Linked DNA regions of Danio rerio. The protein of the gene in region 2 binds, or shares a complex with, the protein of the main gene of each other region. Links are inferred from orthologs where the notes say so. Each region holds a gene or a part of one and is shown on either strand. Other genes may lie near its edges. The genes, in order: polr2c and gtf2e2.

Region 1 (10,987 bases), on a different chromosome or scaffold from region 2:
AACCCTAATATAACCCCTATATATATATATATCTAAGTTTGTTAAAATATTTTGCTAACCACAAGCTGTTAAAGTAAATGTAATTGTGGAATATAATTTAAAACACGTAGTGTCATTTTATTTTTATTATTAAATCAAAAGTAGAACTTGTCATCAAATCATCAAACTCATTATCATGTAAAACTTTTATTTTTATATTATTGTTATCATGTGACCCAGATAAGAAAAATATGATTGCCAATTAAGCTGAGAATGTATCTTATCGATATGCCTATATATCGGTTATTGGCTTTCAAATATAATCGGTTTTACTGATACTATTATAGCCATCTGCCTAAATTCTACATTTCAGAGCATCTCTTGTTTAATTTAATCATAAACGCCAAGTTCAAATGACACAATATTTACCCATTTACTGTCATTAACTCTGTCAGTTGTTAAAACATAATAAAAAAATAAAAACAAATGTAAAATCTAGTTTTGTAAAAAAAGTAAAAAAAGTTTTGTAACTTGAAAATGACGTTTTGTTTTTCTACTTTTCATGTTTTTTTTAATTAAACACCTTTTGTTTATCAACAAGTTGTTATGCATCTATCACCCATATTGGTATCAGTCCATAGTTGCTTATTTTTAACATTATCTGGCTACTAGATGCCAGATGAGAAATTAAATTATCAATAGATATTTTAAAATTATTAATTAAGCTAAAACAAACAATGGCTACTGAAGTCACATGCTTTGTACTGGCTAAAATATTATTTTCCTGCATTTTGAATACATTTTTTAAAAATGACTCTAGAAAATCTCCTTACAGGAATGACTCGCGGGTTATTAGACAGAAGATCTCGTGAGGTCACGTGACGTGTCTGGTCTTCAGTGCATCTCACGTCCAGCGTCAACTCAACCGAACACTCGGGACAGAAATCGTCACACGTGCAGTCCTGATTGGAAACAAAGTAAGCCAAATATTACATTTTCGCTCTTCCAATTAATAAGATGATTCATGTTCATGCAGATTTATAAAAATAGAAACCCTGGTTTAGACACTTACTCTCGAGTACTGCATCTTGTCAACGATGTCATCACTTGTGAGCGGAATTAATCCTGTAAAACATGAGCCTGATAATTATGCTTGGTGTTATTGGAAGAATGAAGAGAAAGATTTTGGAGAGACGATGAACATACGCACCCACTCTATGAGCAACAAACTCATCGTGGAGCACAGAGGAGTTGGCATCGATCTGAACCCAATCAATAGCTGGCAAATGAGCGCATTACATCAGATTAACAGGTTTAACAGACAAAGAGCAGAATTAAAGGGCACCTATGATGAAAACCATCTTTTAGGAGCTGTTTGGACTGTGTGTAGGTACAGTGTGTCCATAGTCATATCGCGGTGATATAAAGACAATAAGTCTCTTTTTTTTATATACATATATATATATCCTGATGTTAAAACAGGATTAAAATCCTCATTTTGAGACCCACCGCAACGTGACTTAGTAGTGCAGTTTCCCCACCCACCGAATTGATTGACAGCCGTGTATTAGTATGTCTCTGTAGTAATCATATCAACAAGACAGGACATGTGCAAAGCAACTGGGATCAAAAGATCTGTTCAGCTCTCTGTGATCATCAATCATCATCAAATGTGATCAAGCACGAGTTTAAAACATTTTTTAAAACTTTTAAAAAATTTTACCGTCTTCATCAGCACAGCCGCATGTCAGTACAATTCTAAAAGATGACGCTTCAATCCCGGTTTGTGGACATTAAATCAGGTTTACTTTGTACATTAACATAACGTATATCCATACAGTAGTGTATATTAACATGTATTCTGTCACATTTGCCATGCAAAAACGGTGCAAGGTTAAACGCCTGTGCTATGTGTGTGTGAGAACTTTGTAACGACATTGTGTGCAACTCATTGAAATGCTTGAATCAACTCCACAACAAATACATCAAATAATTATTGGGAAAGTTCTTACTGTAGTATTTCTCACAAACATTACACGAGATCTGCTTCCTTTATTTCTGTAACTGTGCTGTTTATCTGACGCAGTTGGAGACTAGGGCTGTGCAATTAATCTAAAATTCTATTTCGGCTGCTAACGATTATGAAAATCATTGAACAAGATAAAGGATTATTGCGTCATATACCGACCCCCTTTCCAGTTGTACACATTTTCTGCTCTGCAAAGCTCAGTTTCACATGAAAATCACTAAAAGCATGTACTGTGTAACGTTTACAGCACGGGATGAGCATCGTTCATTGATTTACATTCTATTCATGTTTTTAAAAGCGCGAATGAGACCGTATGCCGCAGCTGTGTGTGTGCGGCGCACACACAACATGCGGTCAGCATTTGGTCTCATTCGCACACTGCGCTTAGAGACGAGCAGGGCACACACATCTAAAGTCATCTTAATGTGAGCGCTTTAATGGTCAAATAGGTGTCAAAAGTGATTAGTGATTATTCATATTAACAATCATGTGTAATAAACAAGTTGAGGATCAACTCATGTGAAAGAGAAACCATTAAAGTGACAGCGCGCAATATTCCTGCTGCCGCCTGTTTTCATCATTATTAATCAAACAACAAATGAGAAAATCCCTCTCTGCTCTTGACTAAAGGACTTTTGTAGCTAAAGTTTTATTCTTACAGTGAAGATGCTTAAAGCACAGTTTGTTTCATATTTTATTCTATTGTATTTATTTCCCTTTCCTTTTTTACAGGAAGGAAAATAACTGTGCATATATACAGTTAAAGTCAGAATTATTAGCCCTCCTGAATTATTAGCGACCCTTCCCCCCACCCCCACCCCTCATTTCTGTTTAACAGAAAGATTTTTTCATCACATTTCTAAACATAATAGTTTTGATAACTCATTTCTAATAACTGATTTATTTTATCTTTGCTATGATGACAGCACATAATATTTTACTAGATATTTTTCAAAATACAAGCATTCAGATTCAAAGTGTGATTCAAAGGCTTAAGCTGCTGTCACACTAGAGTTTGAGCTTGCGAAATTCTGTTGAACGGCTCTGCGAAAAGGGGCGGGATTAAACAAGATGATTAGACATTTAAAAAGCAAGCGATTGCTCTATATCAGTGGTTCTCAAACTTTTTTCATCAAGTACCACCTCAGAAAAAAATAGTCTCTCCTAGTACCAACAAAATGAGCAGTATTGAAATACAGTAGCGTAGTAGGCCCAGTAAAGCAGCTACAACTCTGCACAGTTAAAAAAACGTGGCAGAATACCTCAGAAATATAGGCTATATGTCCTATATGGCATATTATATCCATCATTTTTGGTAAATTTTGAAATGTGTGTAGCATGTACATGACATATTTCATTTCTCAGCGTACCACTAGAAGGAAGCCTGCGTACCACTAGTGGTACATGTATTACAGTTTGAGAACCACTGATCTATATTTTAAATTTCTGTCCAGAGAGGTCATGTTTTGATCCTCGATTGGTCTCAAGCAGTCAAGTGATACGATTTCGCAGGTCAGAGTTCACCAAGCTTGAACATTGCACCACAGCAACCTCCGAAACTTGACGCATGACCCTGCGTTTCCGGCATTCACGTGGGTATGAATGGAAGTCTATGTGAGGAAAAGTCCAGTGTGGCCGCAGCTTCAATTAGGGTAATTAGGCAAGTCATTGTATCACAGTAGTTTCTTTTGCAGACAATCAAACAGTATATTGCTTAAGGGGGCTAATAATAGTGACCTTAAAATAGGTTTTAAAATATTTAAACCTACTTTTATTTTAGCCAAAATAAAACAATTAACACTTTCTCCAGAAGAAAGAATGTTATAGGACATACTGTGAAAAATTCCTGAATCTATTAAACATCATTTGGGAAATTTTTATATAAAATAAAAAAACATTACACAGGAGCGCTAATAATTCTGACTTCAACTGATAATCGTTTGAATAATCGTGATTATGATTTTTCCCATAATCAAGCAGCTCTATCGAGACTGTGGCACACTGACTGTGGCACATGGAAACGGTGGGCGGGGAGAACGATCATTTAAGACACAGGCAACAAAAACAGCTACAAGATGCTCAGAGCTGAAAATTACAAACTTCTAAATGGTAAAATAAATAGTCTGATGGGTGTTTTGAGCTGAAACTTTTCAGACACATTATGAAGACACAAAAGACTGCTCTTAAATCTTGAAAAAGGGGTCAAATAGGTGCCCTTTAAATCAAGTAAACGTATTATTAAATTAACGTGTTTTTTTTTTTCATATTGATTAGATTTTGATTCTTACCAATGGTTGGAACTTCTGACATGAACACACGTCGAATAGAGTTTGCAACCCTGAAAAATAAACAAAATAAAATACAGGTGCTTTTCTTATTCTCATTAAAATGTTTATCATCAAACTTAAACTTTAAACATTTTTTTTAGGGTGCTGTAATTTACATAAAAAATAAAATAGATTTACCAAACGTAAAACATTACAAATTAATGTAACATTACAGATAATAAACATAACAAATAAACTCATATTTATCATAAAATGAAATATGTTTACAAATATATAAATGTGGTCATTACAGATAGACAGATGGACAGATAAAACTACTAAAAACTAAATTAATACAGAAGCGTTTTATTCCCTCATGTAAACACAACAACAAATTTAAACTATTAAAATGCTCAATATTCCAATATATGTGATTTTTAATTCAAATACATGTACAGTGCTCAGCATAATGGAGTGCACCCCACTTTGAAAATTCATATTTTTATCAATTTCTCAGTGAATATGGGTAGTGTATATAAGCGCATTTGAATATAACAGATTTATTAAACAGATATATTAAAATACTATTTTAGTCACAGAATATCTTTAGAAATGGAAAGATATTGCAATTAAATTCATGCAAAATATTGCAAAAAGAATTACAGACTACAACATTTCAACTAAATTGTGTATATTTTTGCTTCTCTTGATATTTGCTATTTTTGAAAGTTTTATTTATTTTTCCCTAACATAAATCTGGGCTACAAATTTTTGAATCATCATTGTAAGTTATTTAGTTAAATAAGCTCCAGATTTAACTTCAGTACTGACTAATCTAATGTATATGCACAAATATAATATTGTAAAGCTTCCTATAGAAAATATTCATTGAAATGAGAGATTTGTAGGGGTGTACTCATATATGCTGAGTACTGTATGCTTATCTGGCTAGATTATGACAAAAATAAGCAATTAAATGTAAAAAAAACTGTCCAATGGATATGCTCATTTGAGTTAGATAGATAGATAGATAGATAGATAGATAGATAGATAGATAGATAGATAGATAGATAGATAGATAGATCTTTATATATATTACATACATTATATGATTTTAAGGTATATTTACATTTAATAATGGTTTTCCCCATTCTTATTTGTTTAATTTAGACTTATTTAAACATTATTATTTTTGTTCATGTGCTTTTAAAATGCATTTAATGTGCATTCGGTCAAGTTAGAACAACAATAAACAGTACTAAACTGTAATCTGTAACAGTAAAGTGTACAGTATTTCCTGAATAAAACAAAAAAAAAACTAAAAAAAGTACCGTGGTGTATGCAGCATGTTTTTACCAGACGTAAGTTATATTTAGTATTTACATATTACATTTTAGAGAGAGCACAATAAACATACTACAATGCTCTAAACATGAGACTTGTGGTCAAAATCATCGATTAGACTCCATCAATCTCATTACTCACGCGAGATCCGTGTTCTCGATCACGAACTTCACATTCTCGTCCGAGAGTTCCGTGATTTTTACCGTGGGCTGGTTGGCGTACGGCATACCGAAATCAAGCCGGATTAAGACAAAATATATATATAATAACAAATCAACTATACGTGCGGTGAGTTGCTCAATTACGTCCAGCGTCGAGCGCGGCTTCAGCACAATAACAAACGAAAGCAGCTCATTGGGCACTGGCTGCCTCCAGTCCGTTAACATCCGGAGTACTGCAGGAGTATTGCCGGTTACACAAAATAAAAGTCTTCAGCGTTCAGGTAAAATAGTTTTTTTAACGGTCATTTTTAAATGACATAAGTAACAGGCAATACATAAAACATTAATTTGTGCTAACATTGTGTGACCTGAATACAAATTATAAATATTCATTGTTCATCTACTGCAATGTAGATCTAGATATGGGAAAAACAATACATGAAAGAAAAGCAAATATTTAAAGAAAATAAAAATATAGAAATATATATCAAAAGAAATAAAACATAAATATCTCAAACTATACTTAGATTATTAGGAATGTTACATTGGCATACCAAAAGAGATCTGATAACTTAAAGGTAATTACTAAAATTATATTATTTTTTTTCAGCAGTGCAGTTGTTTTAGCAGCTTTCTTATTTTGCGATAGGCAGAAATTCATAATAAAGTAGATTCAAAATGTTTTTAAAATTTGGCAAACACTGAATAACTCTACATTTGTGAACATGGAAAAGGCCACAAAGAGTTAAAAAAAATTTACCATATTGTCCATTTAAATACAATCTGACTCCCAAATCAAAAACAATAAATTAATTGTCTTAAAATCGAAAAAAAAATTGTAAGCTAAGAAGAAAAGCCAAGATATATCTGTCTAAAATTTTCCCACAAAATTGCATTCTAAAACTAAATGCTATATTGTTTCCAGGTTAGAATTACAGAAAGTGCATTGCAAAGAATTGTATATATTAAATTCAGACAGTAAAGACTTGAAAGGATAGTAATTATGAAGAATTTAAAAATAAAGTTCTTTCATCTTATTATAGGCACTAAAAACTTATTGATACCAGGCCAAATTGTAATGGTGGACAGAACCGGGTGATTTAATTTCCATTTATAAAAAGCTTTAGGGTACAAGCTAGACTTAACAAAATCTCCACCCCTTCAATAGATAATTTTGGCATTTCACATTTTAAGTCTGTATAAGCACAGGTTCTGGTCAGATGTAATAGTTTTAGAAATAGATTTTATGACCCAATCATATACTCTGGGCGAAATTTTTCTTCCGTAAACTGCAGAACACTCAAAGTAAGATTACATGTTATTGTCCTTTTTTAATAAATCTAAAATAAAAACTTTTCCTCTGTCCTTTTGAGGTCTTGAAATAAATACATAGTTAAAATCACAAACCTAACATACATGATATTAACTTAATGTAGTATTTTTTACATTTTAGACACGCCTGTATATGACATTATATCAGTATGATCAGTTACTGTGGAAGATGTAAATCAGGTAAATCTGCAACATCTAAATTCAGATTTCATAATTCCGATTTTTGTGGTTTACAACTGTATTACTATGGGTATTTCTTTGTGCTGTTTTCTGTGGAAATGATCACAAACTAATAATTTCAGAGCATTGGTTTGTAATGGGGTGTGCACATGGACTTTTAATTTTTAGCCAGCCATTTTCGAGGATTTTCAGTGAACTGTCTTTCTATACAAAATTGGCACGATTATCTGTTTTCTTTAAAAACAAGTGATCTTCACTGCCTATTAGATATAAAGTGGGTCTCAGACTGGATAAGAAGCACTGCAATCAACTCAAATTTTGCCTGCCATTTCTTTGAAATATAAACATTTATTTTAACTCAGTATTTTGAATGGAGTTTCTGCACTAACCTGCTGGTACTGACGGTGCTAGCAGTTACAGTCTATCATCTCGTTTAATGCTTGAACAACTAAATTAATGCTTAAGTGCATTTAACTGATTGCAATATTATGATGTTGATGCTTATAAAAGTTCAAATTGTAACAGAAACCTTTCAACGGAAGTTTACCATTGGCTAAAAAATACGAGCTGTGCATATAGCCCATTTTAAGGAAACATGAAGCCTAATACATTATATTTTATACACAAATGTGCAAAAGAATAACCAATACTATTAGTAAAATATTAGTATTTTTTAAAAATTATGCTAAACCATTTATTTAAAACATGTTGTGTGTGTACTTCAAACAGCAATGTGACACATTTCCATTGCCTAGTTTCATTAGACCACAATTAAAATTAAGCTTTCGTCTTAAACCTAAGCATTAAAATATCTTATTAAAGACGGAATTGAGATATTTATTTACACAAATATTTATATGCTTTTTGTTGCAAGGAGTCTGCTGTAAAAAACAAACAAACATGTAATAGACTTGCATTTGTGGCCATATAACCAACAAGTGTTTGTAAAGTTTGACCCACCATGTTAAACTGAACAGTTTTTGTTATCCCTGCTATATGTAATAAGAAACATTAAAACCCTTGATGTATTATTAATAAGAACACTTTACTGGCATGTTTTAGTTGCAAATATTGCACCACTTAAAGCAGATTAATATATAAAGCAGATAAATATTTAGCAATTGTTTCAATGGCATATAAAAAGAAGATAATCCAAGTCTGTGATGGAAGAATTAAACACAATATCAGGGAAAAGCTCCTTGATATCGTGTTTAATTCTTCCATCACAGACTTGGATTATTACCATGGAGAGATTAACAAACAAACAAACAAACTCAGCGTTCAGCAAATAGGTAAGCCTTTATTTCTTTTTTGAAGGACTCAGCAAAGAGTCAGACACAAACTGTATGAACATAGAACTCTCAAATACAATTTACATTTCTTTTTTTGTTTCTTTTTACAAATGCAGAAAACAAGAAGGAGACTGCAATGGCAGAAGGAAAACTGGCTCCTGGTTGGACTCGGGTCAAGATTCAGACAGAGGAATTTGGTATGGCACAGCTGACCCATTTAAAAAGTGCTGGGGGAGTATCGTGACATACACACTTTCACTGTGATCGTTTCATGTTGTGTAGTTGGTTTAGAGCAGGCTAGGGAAGTATCGGACATTTGTGCTGCATGGCCGAAAGGTCAGATAGTGAAAGACGAAAACTCATCGTCTCTGGTTCATCCCGGTTAGGTTCTTCAGCTGGAAAAGATGAGAGACAAATGCTAATTTAATTTAAGTTGCAAAATAAATCAAATGTTTAAACAGGATTTAAAGGTCAGTTAGATGCAGTGGTGGGAAAAGTACTGAAAAATCATACAAAGTAAAAGTACCATAACTTGCCCTAAAATGTAGTGCAAGTAAAGTAAAAGTATCTGTTGTAAATATTAATCAAAAGAGTAAAAAGTAGCACTTTTAAAAGTACTCATGACCAGTGAGTATTACGCTGGGAAAGGTTGATGCGTTTACATGTAATATATGTGTGTGTGTATGTGTGTGTGTGTGTGTGTGTGTGTGTGTGAGTGTATAAACGTAACATTCTGTGGTGTATTTAGTGATTGTTAACTTTCGCAAATTGGTGAAGTTTGTTTCTTGCCACTAGCTTGCATGGTCCGGGACTTGTGGAGCTGTGCATCGATGGTTTTGCTCTTCAGTGTTTGAACTCTGAGCAGTGAAAATTAACCCACACTGAACTAAACTGAACTTAAACTCTGAAAACTGAAGTTTCAATTTACTTTAATATTCTATGTTAAGCTGCTTTGACACAATCTACATTGTAAAAGCGCTATGAAAATAAAGATGAATTGAATTGTTTAAGACCATTTTAGTCATCATAAAGTATCTCTGAATTCAAATCCTTACTTAAGACTCTTATTTTCTGAATGCTTCGCTTCTGATCTGCCAAACTGACTACTTTATCTGATCCACCTCCACTCTGCTCATATGTCTCTTAGATCTTGTTTGTGTAATTCCAGTTTGTTATATTTGACTTCATGTATGTTTGTTTATCTTTTTGTCGCATTTCTTGTAAAGTGTCCTTGAGCTCTGGAAAGGCACTATATAAATAAAAACTATTATTATTATTATTATTATAAAAAAACATTCGTCATCTTCTCATCAGTGACATTCAGTCTAAATAGTCTCTGGGCCATTGCGTGTAAAGTATCTTCATGGACACTCAATGCTTCCAAACAGTTTGCTGCATGTCTTATGGTAATTCAGTATGAAGCAATTTTATTTCTATGTTCGATTCGATTGAACAGAAATCACATGACTGACTTTTCTAATCCCCATAGACAGGAAAAAATTAAGTAGTGACTGCTGGATGAAGGAAAGTAGTGGGGTAAAAGTACAATACTTCACTGAAAGTGTACTCAAGTGAAAGTATAAAGTACACATTTTAAATCCACATAGTAAATTACCATTTCTAAGAAAAACTACAGTAATTAAAAAAATACAGAAATTAATTTAGAATTAATTTCTAAAAAAATTACAGTAATTTGAGTGGTTAGACGCCATTGTTAGATTGAGTGGTTAGATGCCATGGACCCATAACCCTTGTTATATTACATTTATTCTGCTCATTATACTAGTATATTTTCTCATTTACTTTAATAATGTTATTTTTGTATTATTGTATATTAATTATTTGATTATTTTAATCCAATTTATTTTATACGAATGTGTGTCTAAATATTTTGGGGGTTTATTTTAAATAATTAGGTATAGTTATTAGTATTTTATACATTTGTATAATTATTAATAATTATTGTTATTACTTTTTCATTTTATTTCTATTTTACTCTATTTATAATGCAAAAAACTTTAGTAATTCATTTCTATTTTTCTACTTCTATTTTAAAATATTAATTATAGATTTTTATTTATTGTTAATTAGAATTTTATCTATAATTACTTATTTTATTTCTAAAGTCTTATTTAATTCAATGTAATTTTACATTATTTGTTTGAATCTTTTTTATTAAATTTAATTAGATGTTTAAAAAAATGATAAAAATTACAAAAACACATGAAAATTACTAAAACGTTACACTAAATAGTATAAATAAAAAGAAAAAGAACCACTTTTATCATGTCATCACTGAAATCCAAACCATTCATAATATGTGACTAGCTATTAGGCCTATTAGAAATCTATCTGACTTTGGAAAACGTATTTTTTTGTGATTTAATTTGAGCTTGGTTACCG
Region 2 (10,902 bases):
TAAACCATGATTTTTCTTTGCTTAGCCAAAAACCCTGATAGATTAATTGTTGTGCAAAAATATATAGCTTTACTAACCAACAAGGAAACACAAATGGACAGTGCTTCCACATAATTCATTTATAGAAAGAACAGCCAGAAAGGGCAAATTGATGGATTTGTGCCAAATATTAGCATCATTGACCCATAACAATGTACGGTACCTATAACTGTCAGTATGTTTGTGTGCTTTTTATACCGTTTCTATACTAATTTGCACTTAAGTGAAAAGAATAAATAAATTGAAATGCAAATCAAAGTATAAAGAGCAGAAGTGAAACAATAGATTTTCCCTACCAGCAAATATTAATCCAACACCAAATATAAAAGCAGACACTAACCTGCTATAACGTCATCACCAATGACTAAATCTCTAAAAGACGAATGAAAACATCAGTGAATTGTAGCTCTGACATGGGCATGAGGGATATAAATGCCTGAAAAACAGCTGCGGGTGAAGTATATTGATTGCAAGTGCTCAGTTTGTGATCATATCTCTGTTTGATTCTGTTGATATGTAATTTCAAATATTTGTAGCTTTAAACAGATGCAAATATGATTGCTAGTATGACTACTACTGCGAGAGCTTAAACGGAGCAGTGCTAATAATATCGAACGAAAAAAAAGAAAAAGACAGCTGGGAAACATAATCTGCTTTGTATTTTTGAAAAAAAACACAGTTTAGATTTTTTTACAGTAAGAGCTGTGTGAGCTATTGCCGTGTTTCAATGTATCTGTCAGAGATATCGAAAACAAAGCCAACTTAACACCACTCTTTTAGCGCCCCTCACAGAGCTTGATCCACACTGGCATTTCTTTCCTTGGGTTTTAGGTTTTGGAAAGGGAAAAAAAATCCACCACCCCATCCAAACTTTTAGGATATCGGGTATCAGATTTGCACAATTCATATGCACAACGCTATGATAGTTGAATAAACTTAAAATGCAGCAAATGGTAGAGCACAACAAATAAATTTTTTTGCATTCCAATGGCGTTATCCCGACTTGCAGAAAAAGGAAAAATATTATGTGAGACTGATAACGGCAGCCAGAAGAGAGAACAATGTCAAATTCACTAAGTATTTATTTTAGTTTATTTTTGTATTTTAATGCAAAGACAATATAATGCAAAGTGTAGTTTTATTAATGTACATATGCTTTTTTATCTAAATAAAATCTTTCAAGAATTTGTGAAGTTAATGACCGATAAACGCATTATTATTTTTTGATGTTTAATTTTGGGAGTCCGTTTCCCTATCAGCATCCAAAATAGTCTATTCTAGGCATGGGCTGTTATGGAGGAATGATAACCTTGGATAAAATATCATGTTTCATGCAGCCTGATCTCACGAGAAAGCGTAAGTATTTTACGTTTTGCCAGTTTAATGGCTAATTTGTACAAATTCGTACGATTTCAGTCGTACTAAATGATACGATTTTAAAAAGGAGGCGTGGCACCTAACGTAACCCCACCCCTAACCCCAACCCTAACCGTCATTGGGGGATAAGCAAATCGTACTAAATTGTACAAATTAGATTGTACGAATTAGCCACTAAATGAAAAAGTTACGAATTGCCGTGAGATTGTGTTGGTTTCATGGTATCACGGTATTACTACTCTAAAAAAGGTGTAAAAAAAACAAAATTTTAAACACAATATATTTTATTTTAGAAAACATTTAAAATATTTTGGAACAGTAAACATGTCAGGCTAAAAATTAAGTAAATAAAATAAATAAATGACATCTGCTATCTTCATTAGTTTCAAAAAAGATTTCTTTACAAAAAACACAAAAAAATCATACATATACCTTAGCAATGCTATAACCAAATCTATGCAGTTTTAAAACTTTTACTTTTCCAAAGCAAACTTAAAAACTGGGTATCTCCCCATGCCTAGTCTACTCGAGCAGAGAATACAGGATGCAATAAATATTGAAAACCAAGTCCACACTGTAGACTGGCATTCGAGGTTGTGTTTTTCCTTGTACTGTTGTAGTGCTGCAGTCAGCGTGAAAGAGAATGTTAATGCATGTTAACTTTTTTAGCACCGACTTGTGCTATAAGAGGTTTGAAGGAAAGAAAAAGGAGGAAATCTTTACACCTTGTCTTGGGGTCACAGCCAATCTGAATGTCAAGGGAACAGGTCTGAACAACAATGCCAGGTAACTTTATCCATCTAAACACGATTTAGATTTGAAATCTTTTCCACCTACAAGAATCAGACCTCTTTCAGGGCTCTGATAAGTATTGCACCATATGTGTAATCACTTCTGTCCTAAAGGTCTTTGCAGGGTCAATATTAGACCAAAAGATAACAAAACAGTCTGGAATTGTTAGATTACTGGTGCCTGAAGGAGTAGTCATGGCCGATAAAGGCTTTGTCCTTGACCAGGTGCTGTCGGATTGTTGGTGCAACTCATCATCACTCTATTCAAAAATGGTGCAGCCTTGAGGAAAAAGAACAGAGAAAAAACACAAAGTACTCCCTATCTAAAATACTGCATAGATATATGCCCCTTTTAATAAAAATAACAAAATATATTCGTGTTCAGGACACTACAGTTCATGTGTATTGTGCCCTTGTGCATATTAATGGTTTTTAGGTATATTTCCACAAATGAAAGAAAGTTATCTGAAACGTTACTACAAACCATCAGAATGAATATATATTTGTGTATTGTTTTTGTATTTTTTAATTTCTCCCTTTAATTATTCACAAAAGAATATTAGTTTTTTTTCTTATTTGTGTATGTATTTTGTGTATATTTATTATATAATCACTTTGAAGTTTATTATTCATGTAATTTACAATACTTTTGCAATTCTTGACAGGTCATGCCGACAAAGCTCTTTTGAATTGTATTGCATTAAAAAAAGGGTCTAGTTTACTCTTCATTTCCATGATCTTGACTAATTTTTTGAATTGTGGTGCACTTTTGGCACTTTTGATATAGTCATTCCAAGGCCGTTCCATGTGTCATTGTGTCATCTGATGCCCAGACAGAACCAACCATCAATAAACTGTGATTAGGAGTTATTACGGCAAAACATGTTATTAAAGAACACATATTCCCTAAATTAAAAACTTAATGCAAGTTCAAGTTTCCAATTTATGTGAAACACACCAGAGATTGAAAAACGCTGAGCGTGTGTAAAGATGTACAGACATCTGAGGTGCTAAATAATAACAAGTACTGTACAGTGAAGTGTTAATATCTATTTATATATTTGTGAATTTCTTTGTTCTGCATGTGGGTTGATGAATCAATTATGCCACTGAACAGAACATACAAGTAAAACTGAATGATTATTATTATAATGTTAGATTATGGAGATTTTCTAAATATAACTTCAATGTAGTTGTGCTTAGAAGATAAAACATTAGTGCTCTGCATTTCAGTTGTATCATTTGTAATAATTGAGGAAACATGCTTGTAGATAAAATTGCAAGAGAACGACTGCTAATCAAATACAGAGAGACAGAGAAAAAAATCATAAATGATTATAGTCAGATCCTTAAATAGGAGTCTTAATAAACCATCAAATATTCTTGTTCTAAACATGCTTGACAATATGTTTCGGTATATTAACTGTCACTAAACTATATTAAGTGGGTGTCTTCTGGATATCATAATAATGACATTATAACAGTCATTTTTTTGTTCAGAAAAAAAATTCTCATTACACTTTTAATATTAAAACCATTTCATCTATGACATATAGGGCTGTATTATAATCATATATGCACATGATTTAAAGCACACAGTGCAAATGCACTTAAGGGGTGTCCGAATCCACTTTTGCTATTTAAGTATAGTGCATCCAACACAGTCTAATAGTGTTGTCCTTATTCTCATGGGTGTGTTTTGGGCATTAAATCCATCAGAGTCTCTTCTCCCATTATCTTTAAGAGCGAGTACTTTGTAACTGGCAAAACTGAACACTTCACTAGCGAGGAAAAGAATCTGCTCGTGACATTTTAATCACTTAATTTTTCATATTTGAAGATAATACTGGGCTCCTGCACATCCCTGTGAGTCTAATAAGCAATGAATACAAGCACTGAGGACAACCCTAAAGGAGCAAAAGATACCTGCACTGGCTTGAAACTACCCAAAAACACTTAGGGTGCTTTCACACGTGGTTCAGTTGCCTGGACTGAACCAGAGTTCGATAATCTCCCCTTGCCACCTTCTTGGCTGGTTTGTGTTCACACCGTTTTTTTCCTTCTGAACCCTGGTATGGTTTCGTCATTAAGCTGCGGTGGCGTGTACAGCTGTTGCTAGGTGACAGCCATGTAAGCAAAGAGCAAAATGGTCATTCTGCTTTTACTGAATCTTTTGCTTTTGTTACCAAAACCAAAATACAGAAAACCACTTGCATCTATCTGCCGCAAAAAATGCTGTTTAGCTTGATTGTTGCTGTCTGTGTGTGTGAATGAGAGAGAGAGCTTGGTGCTGTCTGTGTGTGTGTGTGTGTGTGAATAAGAGAGAGAGAGCTTTGTGCTGTCTGTGTGTGTGTGTGTGTGTGTGTGTGTGTGTGTGTGTGTGTGTGTGTGAATAAGAGAGAGAGAGCTTTGTGCTGTCTATGTGTGTGAATGAGAGAGAGTGTGATGCTGTCTGTGTGTGTGTGTTTATACTTATCTATTATATGTGTTGTTAAACGGGGTGGGTCGGGCTGCAGGACAACAAATGCTGAATATAAGTGGGAGCGGTGGGGTTCTGACTAAAACCTGGTGGAAGCAGGATACAAAATTTAGTCCCATGCAGATCTCTAACACAGACATCCACACACTAATAAACATTATGAAAACTAAAGTTTGTTGTAAAGTTGGAAGTTCAGTTCCCTTATTTGGTACCCCAGACCACCTCCTTCAGGTGGACTTGGGTACGGTTTGTTGTGCCCACTTGAATTTAGAAGACAACGTTCACACTAGCTAAACGTACCATACTCTGATGTCAAACAAAACCGGGTGCAGACCAAAAGTGCTAGTGTGAAAGCACCCTTAGTGTATTGCACCGGGTGTATGATAGGGCCTTATAAAGGTATTTTTTTTAAATACATCATTAATAAACTCAAAAAAGAAACAACAGATGTGGTTTGATTGCTCTTGTTTAATCTTTAAACCTAAAAAAAGAAGAGCTCAAAAGTCCATTTTTAAAGCACTAGCAAAAAGTAAAACGTAATGTTGGAAAGGAAATATTTACAGTCTGTTCACATTTGTGCCAACTCAGAACAGTTCTAAAGTTGTGTATGTGTATGTCTGCATATCTTTATGGTTGACAATAAGACGTTATCAGAACAGATATACAAACATCACAGATATCAGTCTCATCACTCTGAGCTTTTTACAGCTGTGTGTGTCACTTCTTTGAGGGAACTCCATCGAAGTAGTCCTCCAGCACTCCATTCAGATGGTCATTGTGAGTCTTATAGCGTCTCTTTCTCTGGGTTCCAGGTTTCTTCCTCTTCTGAATTGGTGTCTGTGACAGCCAATCACAAATCACATCAACCTCACACAAACATGCACGTAATAGCCAGTCTGAAGAGTGTGTTTGATTTTCTGTGTGTAAATGTTGATTTCTATGTGTTTGAGAGACAAATCGTACCATTTTCTTTGGTCCAGTCTCCTGCATTGATGAGATGCCCTGTTTCTTCAGGTACTCTTCGATCTTCTCCTCATCTATGGAATCAACAGGAACACTCCGCCACAGCTTCTGAAACTCTGGAAAATAAAAAGACACTGATATCCCAACAGAACATCGCAGGAACTCTTCTTTCAACAAACAGTAATGGACAAAAATGAACCAGCTTTGAATTGTGATGAGAGTCACATACCTTCATCCACGACAAACTGACAGTGCTTGTCATTGTAGAATAGAATCTTCTTCTTATCTGGTCTAGTCACAAATATAATCTGATCCCCGAGCGCCTGAACAAAACCAATTAAAACAAATTAGAGTATTTCATGCTATTAAAGCCTTGTGTTTCCATCTCAAACATTTATGATATATAAAAATATCTAAAATGTCAATTGATTAGCATTTCTACTAATGTGGCTGCAATCAGATCCTAATTTAATATGTGCAGGAATTATTCTTGATGAAAAGGTTTTTTTAGTATATAAACATGTTACACTGAATGACATTTATGAGAGTTTCTAAAAAAAATGAACAAATTAAAATAAATAACTGTATTTTTTGCAATCAAAGCCTTGTTATTTTCATTTTAAACAAGGTGTATATACATCACAATTAATTAAATTCACAATTAATAAGCTTTTTAGAGCTGCAATGTGATCCTAATTTAATGTCATGAAATCATTCTTTTTGAAATGATTATATAAACTACTGTCAAAGTGAATGACATTTATGTTGTTTTCTAATGCTGAAAAAAAAAGAAAATTACCTGAACAAATAAATAAAAGGGTATGGATCAGGTTTCCACATGGTATTATTGTGTCTTTTAGTGGTCCGTGACTACAAGTGGTCACTTAAGATGGCAATATTTTTTCAATAATTACAATACAGTTTAGCTGTATTATTTATATTTCTAATAATTATAGCCAAAGCAAAAAAAAGGCTACTTCACACCATTCTTGTTGACAGAACCAACTTTTGTGTATATACATAAATAAATATATACTACAATACATGCATGATCCTGGACTACAAAACCACTCTAACATGATCCAAATTCAAGTCTTAGTTTTGCAAATTACTAATCATTTACAGTAGGGTACTTTTACATTTACAGTAGACAAAATGTCTTCATGAAACATGATCTTAATATTTCAAAGACTTTTGGTATCAAAAAAATCTATAGTTTTCCTGGGCTCAGAGCCCTTTTTTGTGTACTTGGTAATTTAAAGAGCCTCTACTACACATTAAAAAGGGTCAAATTTACATTAAATGTTCCTGGGTTTGCGCATGCAATAATTGGGCGGGGCATAAGTCTCGTATCGACTCTTTTATAAATGCATCAATTGTTTTAAACACGGAGCACTTTCAGATTTAAGCCATAACTGGATATTTCACTTCACTTAGAGCTGTGTTACACACTACATGGAAGGTCATTGTCAAAAACCCATAATAGGGGCTCTTTAAAGAGGACCTAATGCGCAAAAATCACTTTTATAAGGAGTTAAACAAAATTGTGTGGAAACAAGGTGGGAATATAGCCAGATTTCAACTGTACAAAATCATTAATTAATTTCATTTTAATCACACTTCATAAAAGCAGTCTGCAGAAACACTGTCTGACATTCTTCCTTTGTACATCAGAGGGGGAAAGCCCCGCCCATTAGTGACAATCTCTCCATTATTAGCATAAACAGTTTTAAGTGAGATGCAGTCACTAATGATGGAATGGTGATGGTTGTCTGTAGCTCTGCACTCTTTTGAAAGGAGGGCTGGGAGTACATACTCATTTGATTTTAAAGAGACAGTCACCATAAAAGCACTGTTTGGATCAAAGGCTAAAAGGAGCAGTTTCAAAGAACTAAAAAAATTATTCATGGGTTATAAGATGCCAAAACTTTGCATATACACTCTAGGGACATCAGAGACTTCTTTTATATCTTGTAAAAAGGGGCATATCAGGTCCCCTTTAAATGTACGGTTTAGTAAATGTTTTTTTTTGTTTTGTTACTAATGAGTGACAGCATGATGGTGTATTACTTTAATAGCCTTGGCTGCATTGGGTAGCCCCTCTTCAACATCATCCAGTAACACTCCTCCGAGACCAAGCTGATCGTGTTTGTCCAGAAGTCTAAGCAGAGCTTTCTTATCCTTCAGATGATACTTGGGTTTAAAGGCATATTTCCCTTCCCGCACATCAATCTTAGGATTACTTGCTAATGCCTGGAGGGAAGGAGAGAGGGAAAGGTTACATGCTGAATTCTTGTTCGAATGTCGATCTTGCCCTTGAAAACATATATTGCGTGTCATTACATTGCTTGTTGGAACATTGGTCAATAAAAGTATTCTGCAGCATATAAATCCAAGTATTATATAATTATAATAATATTCTGGAATAAAAAAACATAAACATAAAAATAATAATTTAAAACCACAGGAACATAGCTATCCCATACTCTTTGTGGCCTTATAAATATATTTTAAAAGAAAAAAAAATTTACATACATTTTCAATTTTACATACAGCAATATCTGTAAAGTCAGATGTTTTTACAGACAGCTGTATGTTTGCTAGTGGTGTGCGTTATGAACACAGAAAAATATAAATATTAATTTTTTAGGGATTTTTTTGTATTTTGAACAATAATAATTTAAAATATTTTGTTGAGTTTGTTGTTATGCTGTTAAGGCCTATCATAGATAAAATAATAAACAGGGTTCCCACACTTTCATTAACTGCAGATTCAAAGACTTTCAATGACTTTTTAAAGCACCCTTATTTTGATAAAGAACACTTGTAATTCATACCCCAGTATTTGTAGTGCCATGAAAGTCCTAGGGTCTGTTCTTTGTACCTCGCTTAAATGATCTAAGATGATTTGGCAGATCCTGGATCTTTTAATCTTGATAACTGATCTCTGGCTAATTTGGTTCTTCAAACAAGTTCGCAAATCAGATTAAAATGTCTGGATGAACTGATCTGAGATCGCTGCGTGTGTTGTTAAGGACAGATCTATCGATTCCTGAAATCATGATCAGCAATGCAACAATTGGCTGACAGCACAGCAGCGTAATGAAATCATCTAATTATCCATTTGAGTAAAATGACATCAAATTAGCAGTAAACGGTTTGTTAAATATGATGCGCAAATTACTTTCCACATTTGTTATAAGCTGCAGGCTTTACACTTTCATGTATCAGGAGTAGGGTTGGGCATCTAAGCTATAATGCCGATCCGATACGCATCTCGATACAAAGAATACGATCCGATACATTAACGATAAATTTGTGACATATTGTGATGCAATACGATACGATTCACACCCATATCACAATACAATGTGATAATTCAGCAGTAATTAATTAGATCAAGTTTATGTGATGATGTGAAAGAGGATGCTGTGCCATTGAATGACTTTAATTATTTATTAACCAATAAAACCAAGACTTTTTTTACAAACTGGCTTTTCTCTCAGAGCCCGAGTGTCGGTTTACAGTAGAGGGCCATTTTAGAACATATGGAACATATTATTTAAGTATTTCCAAGATAAACAGAATGTATAAGTGCAATACATATACACATATATATATATATACATATACACATATATATATATATATATATATATATATATATATATATATATATATATATATATATATATATATATTTGCACTCTTTCAACATAAAGGTTTACCATTGCACAACACGAATTGTGATTTAACTTTTCAACTATGAAAACAAGTTTAACAAAGACAATTTTTTCCACTTAATATTCAAAACTTAAGGTCGTGAACTAGCAGTGTTATGCTGCTTTGAAACATGAATGTCAATGTAAACAACAGGGTAATAAAAATAAAATTAAATAAAAATTAAAAGGAGGAGGTGTTTAAAACTTTCGTTCTCCGTGACACTGTAAGGCTGAATGTCTTTGCAGATGAACAATGCAATAGCATCCGTTATTGCCATAGAGCACGCGGAACTGTTAGCAACCGGGGCATAGAAAAAAACTTTCAATGTTTTTCTCACCACTTTTGGAGCTGGTAGCTACAGGTGAATCACAGCAGGAAGCAGGGGATGCAGGAACACTAGAAGATACTTCCACAACAACACCGTGGCACTGCTTCAAGTGAGATATCAGATTAGTCGTACTGCCCGTGTATTTTACAGATGAGCAGCACATTTTGCAAATTGCATCTGTCTTGTCAAGTCATCCATCTTTTTTGTAAGATCCATAATGTTGCCATACTTTAGATTTAAAACTCAGTGGGGAGAATAAATTGTCTCGGCGTCCAACATGTTTGTTTAGCTTAGAGCTGTAGTGTAAGTGTACACATCTGCAAGTCCGTTGCTAAGGCATACTTTATGTAGGTCGATTAAATTATGTGCCAAAACAGGTTGACAACACTTGTTAATAAACAAAAAACACATTCTACATTAAAAAGACAAGTTGTATCTTGGAAAAACCGATGCATCTCGCAAAAACCGATGCATCTCGATTTGCTTCCAAATTTCATACATCCTCTGCTGCTCTACCGATGCACTCGCATTGTGCACGCGCATGACCGCGTATTGATACATATCGGTTAATCTTCCCATCCCTAGTCAGGAGTATTCATTATGTATTTCAATGGGTATCAATGTATTTAGTTCTACATTTAGAGAAGATTTTATTTTTTATAGTAGCCTAGGCCTACTCAAGTTTTTTTTTAATCGGCATAAGGAATAACTGTATAAATTAAATTTGCATCAAAAAAGCATTTTTGTATCGGTAAAGGTGTCTGCAACTTTTGCGAAGCATCAAATCACTGGTTTATTAGCGGCCAAAACACATGCATGACTGCATAAATTATTATCCGTTTTTTAAAAAGTTGAATATTGTGCATGTATGCGTTTGTAACTAAAAAGTCCAAATCAATACATTTTCTCTTTGAACCTGGCAGGCTTTGTACTTTATTTCGGAGTGCAGATTGCATAAGTTTTGTTAATATATATTTTTTTGCTTTATATATATATATATATATATATATATATATATATATATATATATATATATATATATATATATATATATATATATATATATATATATAAATTATATTTACTATTTTGCCAAGTGTATATAACTACTGTAAGAAAACATCAGCATTTGGTCCATACTTTCAGTAAGTATTATCTTGAAATGACCCGATGTAATCCTGTTTACATGAATGAGCCTGCTC

What was found.
Region 1: gtf2e2 (region 2) and polr2c share a complex: the UniProt entries of both Homo sapiens proteins name them as parts of the TBP-based Pol II pre-initiation complex. The link is inferred for Danio rerio from reciprocal best matches to the Homo sapiens genes GTF2E2 and POLR2C.

What each region holds. Positions count from the first base shown.
Region 1 is NC_133200.1:15,314,205-15,325,191, forward strand, and holds the start of polr2c (DNA-directed RNA polymerase II subunit RPB3), read right to left. Parts: upstream 6,038-10,987; 5' UTR 5,847-6,037; coding exon 5,761-5,846; intron 4,347-5,760; coding exon 4,297-4,346; intron 1,259-4,296; coding exon 1,190-1,258; intron 1,105-1,189; coding exon 1,052-1,104; intron 942-1,051; coding exon 813-941; intron 1-812. UniProt on the Homo sapiens protein: Core component of RNA polymerase II (Pol II), a DNA-dependent RNA polymerase which synthesizes mRNA precursors and many functional non-coding RNAs using the four ribonucleoside triphosphates as substrates.
Region 2 is NC_133176.1:24,449,749-24,460,650, reverse strand, and holds the end of gtf2e2 (transcription initiation factor IIE subunit beta), read right to left. Parts: intron 7,903-10,902; coding exon 7,720-7,902; intron 5,973-7,719; coding exon 5,879-5,972; intron 5,766-5,878; coding exon 5,650-5,765; intron 5,524-5,649; coding exon 5,404-5,523; 3' UTR 5,135-5,403; downstream 1-5,134. UniProt on the Homo sapiens protein: Recruits TFIIH to the initiation complex and stimulates the RNA polymerase II C-terminal domain kinase and DNA-dependent ATPase activities of TFIIH. Both TFIIH and TFIIE are required for promoter clearance by RNA polymerase.